Nothobranchius furzeri: one gene and its partner. Each later gene encodes a partner of the first gene's protein in a complex. Links are inferred from orthologs where the notes say so. Each region holds a gene or a part of one and is shown on either strand. Other genes may lie near its edges.

Region 1 (4,266 bases):
AAGTTGGGGTCCCGATGGCCCAGTGGTTCATGGAACACTGAGTTCTGGCTGTGGAGATGATCAATCACAACCTAAAAATACTGTTTGAATATAACTGATGTAAAAGCTAAAATAAGCCTTGAATCGGACTCAAAACCGTTTGTATTTGTATTTATGTTATTTAGACTTTTGAGATAACAAATTATATCTGAGATTGAAAGTTCGCAGCAGTAATTTTAAATAAATAAATATTCAGGAGCTGTCATTGGGTTGGTAAAATGTTCTGAAAGACGAGATGTTCATTTACCAGAAGATGGCAGCACAACGACATAAATAAAATCCCACAGTTGGTTGACTTCCTCCCTCTCCATCCTCCATGGAGCCTCCGTCCACTAAAGAGGACATTGGCTTTTTAATTTTTTATTCTGTAGTTCAACTTTGGACCCGTTTTTAATGATGATGGGGTTATTTAAATGTCTACGAGGTTATTAGGGGAAATTAAAAAGGGCTTGGAGTCTCAAGAAAATATCTCAGCTGCCTTTTGGGAAAGAAATGAACAACATTCTGGAATCTAATGCCAAGAACCGAGCATGTTCAGTTCAAAGTCACAAATGGCATTGCCTTTGGTAAGTAAATAGAAACTGGAGGAACCAGATAAGCGTACTGGTTTTAGCAACCGCGATGAAGGCTCGGACCCGGATGCTAATAGCTGCTGGGAGACAGTGAACCACTGGATCAGATTCAGAACCCTGAGTCTCTGGTTCTGATCTCTCTCAAAAAGCTTTTTTTAGAGTAATTGATCTCCGTACACATTAATCAGAACCCCCAAAGGTACATCTTAAATACCCCGAGATAGATTTTTAAAAAGAATTACAAGTCAAGCTAAAACCCGGTCAGTGCTCTCACCCTGACTCAGACTCCAGGCACACGGTCGGGGTGACTGTTGGGTCTCTGGTGAGCGCCATAGCTTGTTTGGACAAAACAGACACAACACCACCATGTTCATCAGACAAGGAGCCACGACCTAAAAGAAAAAAGAAAAGAAACACGCAATGAATTATTTAAATGTCTTAAAAAAAGGAAATCAGTGCATCTTTCAAACAGTCATTTTCTGTGATTTGTGTTAATTCCAAACCTGTATACAACAATGACCTCCTTATGAAGGATTGTTAACATATTACAAACATTTCTGTCCCACTGCTGTTATTTAGTCCAGACTGAGGATTTCTGAATTCTGGGGTCTCTCGAGGATCTGAATCATGTTGAACTCATTGTTTGGTTTCTGTCTTCTGCATCTTTTGACTATTTCATTTAGGTTTGTCCATGTACCAGGGAAACATTGCTACTGACTACACAAAACAATACTCATGTTTACCCACTTCCAACAGTTACATCATAACCTTTTCAAAATAACTTTCAACAAGACCTAAAAAGATAATAAAAGTATGAGGACGCTAACAAAGAGCTTAGACTTTGCTGGATGCCTCTGTTATAAATATTAATTAAACCGAACAGAAAAAATATATATACTGATATATCCATCATTTTTCTTCCAATTATCAAAGTCTGGGTTGCTAACAGGTCCAGGAGCGAAGCTCAGATTTCTCTGATCTCAGTGACTCTCCATCTCCATCAAGACAGCTAGAGGGCAGACAGCCCCTCCAGCAAGTTCTATGCTCCAGCAACCGTCAAGCTGTGATTCTTCAGACCACATGATACCTGTCAGCTGCTGCAGGAGTCCTCTGGGAAGTAAAATAATTACTTTATATTATCATCAGTTGTTCTGCTTTGTGTTTCATTGCACAGCTGATGAAAATGGACTGGATATGTTCTGAATTCACAGCCTAAGTAAAATTTAGAGCATGTTCATCTCCCTGAAGTTTGATGAATTGTAGAAGAGATCAAAGTTCAAACTAAACCATGGAAGCCAAACAAGTAACACAGAATCAATTCCACGGAGTATTCACTTTCCCAATGACAGTAATTGTTGTATGTGAATAATGTTCATAAATGACCTCACTAACTAACTGCGTGGTTATTAAGCATTTAGTATTTATTAGTTTATGAGTAATAATCAACAATAAACAATTATAAGCATCATTTTGGATTGGTTGTGTTTAGAGAATTATAAAAACATTACATTTTAATTTTAATTATACCTCATTAGCCTTTGTGATTAAATTTAATTACAGCAGCTTCCTGTTGACCTGTTAAACAGCCAGAAGAGCTCATTCCATCAGAAATGCTAATCTCATTATGCTAACAGTGCAAACACTGTGAAGATTTTCTGGCATGTGAAATAAGTTGAGATTTTAATGGTTGAAATGTATGATTCACAGTAACTTCAACTATACTGTAGTATGTATTTCAACCTTTACAGATGAAAATAGCTAAACTGAAGGAAATAATATTATTTGTGTGTTACATTAATAGCTTTTGCTGCAACTAAGTTATTTCATTATTCAAAAAAAAAAGAACACGACACTGACGTAGCCTTGTAAAAGCTAACTAAACCGAATATGTTTCATACATTTTGCTGTAAATCTTTTTTAAATTAATCTTACAGCCCAGGTTGTGTCCTTGGTGATCTGTGCAGAGCACACCGACAACTGCTGGATTCTTCATGCTACAAAAAAACAAGGAGAAAGGCTTTAATGAAACAAAAAGTGAAGTACGTCAGCAGTTAGAGTGAGATTTTTAACGTACGTGTCATCGAGATGCTGTTCAAGAGTCGACTCCATCGTTAACAAACGAAAAGAGAGAAGGTTTAATTGTTTACAGTTTCATCGACGTTTCCGGTTAGAGTCAGCTGACCGTCACGTGCGCTACGAGTCACAACGAGGACCAAAAAGTGTGACGCGAAAGAGAAAGAGAGAGAGAGAGAGAGAGAGAGAGAGAGAGAGAACGCAAAATCTTTCCATTTACATTACATAAACAAAATAGGCATAGATAGATAGATAGATGATTGATAGATAGATAGATAGATAGATAGATAGATAGATAGATAGATAGATAGATAGATAGATAGATAGATAGATAGATAGATAGATAGATAGATAGATAGATAGATAGATAGATAGATGATAGATAGATAGATAGATAGATAGATTGATAGATTGATAGATAGATAGATAGATAGATAGATAGATAGATAGATAGATAGATAGATAGAAAGAATTAGCATTTTCCTTCAAGTTTTATTAAATTTTCCAATAATAATAATAATAATAATAATGTTATGGGCGGCACCACCTCATCCCCCGTCACACTGAACACTGGTGCACCGCAGGGGTGTGTGCTGAGCCCTCTCCTGTACTCACTCTACACCTACGACTGCACGGCCACGAGAAACTCCAACATCATTGTGAAGTATGCGAACGACACCACAGTGATAGGTCTCATCACCAATCACGATGAGACGGCCTACAGGGAGGAGATCAGCGCCCTGACCCACTGGTGTCAGGACAACAGTCTCACCCTCAACGTCACAAAGACAAAGGAGATGATAGTGGACTTCCGGAGGAGCAGAGGAAGCAGAGGAATACACCCCCCCATCACCATCAACGGCGACGCTGTGGAGAGGGTGAGCAGTTTCCGTTTCCTTGGAGTTCACCTGGCAGAGGATCTTACGTGGTCAGTGCACACGGAAAATACAGTGAAGAAGGCACAGCAGCGCCTCTTCTTTCTCAGAAGACTGAAAAGATTTGGCATGAGCCACCGTATCCTCAGGACCTTCTATTGCTGTGCCATTGAGAGCATCCTCACTGGATGCATCTCCACCTGGTATGGCAACAGCACCGCTTACAACCGCAAAGCTCTCCAGAGAGTAGTGCGGTGTGCAGAAAGGATTATTGGAGGTGAGCTTCCCTCCCTCCAGGACATCTATAAGAAGCGGTGCCTGAGGAAAACGGGGAGGATCATCAAGGACTCAAGTCACCCCAGCCATAAACTGTTCAGACTACTTCCATCAGGAAGGAGGTTCTGCAGCATCCGGTCCAGAACCAGCAGACTGAGAGACAGCTTTTTCCATCAGGCCATCAGACTGCTGAACACTTCACAGACACCTCACCCTCACTACTGAAACTCCAACATTACACATTCCATACTGTACATTAATGCCACTGTTTTGCACATACCAGCCTCTATATATTTTATATCTCTTATCTTATTGTTTACTTTATTCATTTGTATATTTGGATTAGCCATTTTTATATTTTACATGTTTTTACGTTACTGTATTTTTGCACAACTCTGTTGCTGTGAAGCTCGCACACAAGAATTTCACTC
Region 2 (3,930 bases), on another chromosome or scaffold:
TCAAAACATCGTTTCTGTTACTGATAAGAAAATGCGTGCGTGAAGCAGCGCGGTGTGTTGAAGCTGTTATCATCAGCTGATCAGGAGCTAAAGAGGTAGATGTTTTCATCCAAGTGCGTCACGGCCCGTGAAGAACGAGGAACACGTGATGAATATCTACGGCTGCAGGTGCGGGTCTGCAGCCGTGCCCTTCTTAGCGTGACAGCGGGACGTCCCGAAGGTCCGCTCAGACGTCCTGATCTTCTACCTTCCTAGATCATCCAGCTGTAACCTGTTTCTGATCATGTCTTTAGTCCCGCTGTAACACTGATGCATCAGTCTCAGACGTCATGGAGCTCAGGTGTTATCAGAACTGTGTGTGTTCACCACCCAGCTTCAGCTCTTCTGTGGTTGGGTCTGACCCAAGTTAGTAAATGTAAGTCCTCCATCAGATCTGTGCCTCTTCTAGTGTCATTTTAAAGGATATTTATTTATTTATTTAACCGTTACTAGATTAGCAGCAACAGAAATGCTGCTAAAAACACACAATTATGTGAAGCTGGAAAAATTAGAATACTGTGCAAAATTACATTTATTTCTGTAATTTAACTAGACTGAGAGACCATTTAAAGGCTCGGGAACCTTTACAGGTGTTTCTATTTGCAATTTTAAATTTTAGCTGATTGGGGTCTTGTTAAATATCACACAGTGACCTTTTAATAGTCTAGATTAGTGTAATGTTCCTATTAGTAGTTCCTCCTGTTAAGTGCATATTTGTTTAAATTATTCAGGTTTATATAAAACATTTGGACATACATTTTATTATGTTCAGTCATTAGTCATTTATATTTTACTATTGTAGTAATTCTTGCATTCTTTAATGAAAAAAGTAACTAAGTAGTTACTTTTGTTGGTAATTAGTTACTTTTATGATCTTGTAACTCAGTTAGTAACTGAGTTACTTTTTTGACAAAGTAATCAGTAACTATAACTAATTACTTTTTTAAAGTAACGTTCCCAACACTGCTTATTATTACAATCATGTCTTCATATACAATACATGATATCCACAAGCACGTGAGGATGTGTTTCAGCTGCTAACAGGCACCAGAATTAAAATTGAAAATTAAACAAGTAACTCTAACGCGATATCTTCAGCCATCCTACACATGCAGGAAATTGTGTCCGACCTAAACGCCGGCTTTCAGCCACTCCCCCTGCTGCTTCCGTCTGCTCTCGTCTGTTTTCCAGGCGAGGCCATCAACTCGAGCACGGCCAATGAAAATCCTTTTTAGTTACGACCGCGAGACAACATTTCCCAAAGTGCAATGCGAAGGAAGCCGGAAATGCGGAAAGACAAGTCAGCTGACTGCCTGGACGCATTGCTCTTCACGTACATCAACATACTATCAAAATACTTCGTGTTTTTTTCTTATTATTATTAAAACCGTTTTTATTCTTTGGTGAGGTCGACAGCGATGTTGCGACCCAAAGCTCTGACGCAGGTCCTCAGCCAAGCGAACACAAACGGAGTCCAGAGCACTCTGTAAGTACGAGTTAGCGACAAGCTAACGAGATGCTAAGATGCTATTTACTCTGACTCTTAGCTGCTTATCGTTTTTTGTACAAGGAAAGCTCGCCCAAAGAAAAATAAGCGTTGTTTTTTGGGAACTCTTAATGCTTAAAAGACATAATTTTAGTTATTTGAATGTAAAACTTGCGCATTTAATGATTTTTATCGTAGCTGTTTTTATAATGTCACAGATTAGAACGCTGTTGCAACAGATCCTAACAAATACCTCGGTTTATAATGATCAATTTCAATGAGATGATTTATAAAATATTTCTAATTTACACATTAGTGTCTAAAATAGTCAACCTTTCTAAATGTTAATTGTATGATGAGGCATTAGCTGCACCATCTAAACATACATCAAGATTATTTCTAACAACACAGATAACTTATGAGTAGGCTGTCTTAGTATGTGTCACGTGTTTATCCTCTCAGCTTGCTGAATAATGAAGGTTCCCTCCTGGCTTACTCTGGTTATGGAGATACCGATGCACGCGTAACAGCTGCCATCGCCAGCAACATCTGGGCAGCTTACGACAAGAATGGCCACCAAGCCTTCAACGAAGACAAGCTTACCTTCATCCTCATGGACTGTATGGTGAGAAACACAGCTCCGATTCAGGCTAAAACATTAGGCTGACCTCAAATTGTAACCTTCTTCTGTGTATTTGTTTTTTTTTAAGGAGGGAAGAGTGGCCATCACTCGTGTAGCCAACCTGCTGCTGTGCATATATGCCAAAGAGACTGTGGGATTCGGGATGCTGAAAGCCAAGGTGAGAGTTCGGGGCCTTTTCTTCTAATTGTTTCCCACGTTTTGCTTTTTATTGGTAAAGATTTTATGTGTTGGAGCTCTTCTGTCAATTGAGTTTAAAGCATTATTTTACAACAGTTGTTTGGATGGCAAAGAAAACTGCTTTTAACTTTGCTTTTAACCCTTTCAACACTTTCTATTGACATATTCTGTTCACATATATTAAACGTAAGTCTTAACTAAAACGTTTTATACTTAAAGGGCTAAAATGTAAGGGCAGATCATTAAATAAACCATTGAATGTGCAAATCATTTGAAACTAATCATTTAAACACAGATTAAACCACTTTTAGTATTTCTGAGGAATGTGCTGAGTGGTTCTAGACTTCTGTTCCACTGTTTAAAACAGGAAGTCCTTTAGAGTGACCCAGGGAGGCACGTGGATGAGGTTCATCAGGTTTGTCCAGCTAGAGCAGCTCATGGAGAACCCAGCTAAATCTGAACTGAGGCTGAAGTTTCTGATCAGTTTAAAGGTCGTACCAGATTTAATCTTTTCCAGTAATTGTGCTTTATTGTGTTTGTAGGCAGAGGCTCTGGTTCAGTATCTGGAGGAACCGTTGACTCAAGTGGCCGCATCGTAGTGAAGATCCGACCAACGCTTCTGTTGGTCTGAACTGAAGAAGAAATCAGCTGTTCAGGTCATCGGTGGACTGCTGTAACCCTCCTGTCCAACACTAAGTGTACAAAGGGCCATGTCTCTAAATGGAGGGGTGTGTGTGTGTGTGTGTGTGTGTGTGTGTGTGTGTGTGTGTGTGTGTGTGTGTGTGTGTGTGTGTGTGTGTGTGTGTGTGTGTGTGTGTGTACAGCTGAAATGTGATTCCATTTTCAGTTTTCACTTGGAATCGGTCCATTCGGTCATAGTTTTGTTGTTCAATGTGAAACTGAACATTTTTAGGAGTCACAGATGTACATCATGATAAAAACGTGTGTGGAGATTTTATATGAATCTTTCTGAAAAATGCAGTTGAGATTGTTATTTACTTGTGTTTTATGTCAAGGTTGTTTGATAAATGAGAGATACTGGCTCAGAGTCACCCATTCTTTTAAATCCTGCTTTGAGCTGGTGACGGTTGGGTGTGTTTCACCCTCGTATACACCTCTGAACGTTTTTAAACAATTTTAAATATGCAGTATCAGGTGAGATAAACTTAAATTTGCTCTGAAAATCTTGTGAAAGGGAGAATTTGCGGGTTTAGAGAAGCTTACCTTGCTTGTCTTTGAGTTTCATCACCAGATAATTTTATTTCTTTCAGTAATCACAGATTTCACAAAAATCTGATGAAACTTTTCACTCTTTCAGTATCCAATACTTTAAAAACAAAACCTTTTTTAATAAGTCAGAAGATCTGGGTAACTTAAAAGCTAAGAAAACTCACGAGTGCATGTGCATTCTGTTTAACTCCATTTAATCAACTAATGAGTTTTAATTGATACCAGTTAGTGATTTTCTCTTGAGGCATTAGCATCAAATATACTTTCTCACCTGCAGCCAGATAAAGAAAGTCTCAGCTTTCAAAATAAAAATTTTAATCACCCAAACCTGGAGTTAAATGCCTATACAGTTTTG

The links.
Region 2: lamtor5 (region 1) and lamtor2 share a complex: the UniProt entries of both Homo sapiens proteins name them as parts of the ragulator complex. The link is inferred for Nothobranchius furzeri from reciprocal best matches to the Homo sapiens genes LAMTOR5 and LAMTOR2.

What each region holds. Positions count from the first base shown.
Region 1 is NC_091755.1:27,982,159-27,986,424, reverse strand, and holds the start of lamtor5 (ragulator complex protein LAMTOR5), read right to left. Parts: upstream 2,828-4,266; 5' UTR 2,721-2,827; coding exon 2,686-2,720; intron 2,606-2,685; coding exon 2,544-2,605; intron 1,004-2,543; coding exon 886-1,003; intron 1-885. UniProt on the Homo sapiens protein: As part of the Ragulator complex it is involved in amino acid sensing and activation of mTORC1, a signaling complex promoting cell growth in response to growth factors, energy levels, and amino acids.
Region 2 is NC_091745.1:61,225,375-61,229,304, reverse strand, and holds lamtor2 (ragulator complex protein LAMTOR2), read left to right. Parts: upstream 1-1,240; 5' UTR 1,241-1,457; coding exon 1,458-1,525; intron 1,526-1,987; coding exon 1,988-2,150; intron 2,151-2,235; coding exon 2,236-2,325; intron 2,326-2,887; coding exon 2,888-2,944; 3' UTR 2,945-3,386; downstream 3,387-3,930. UniProt on the Homo sapiens protein: As part of the Ragulator complex it is involved in amino acid sensing and activation of mTORC1, a signaling complex promoting cell growth in response to growth factors, energy levels, and amino acids.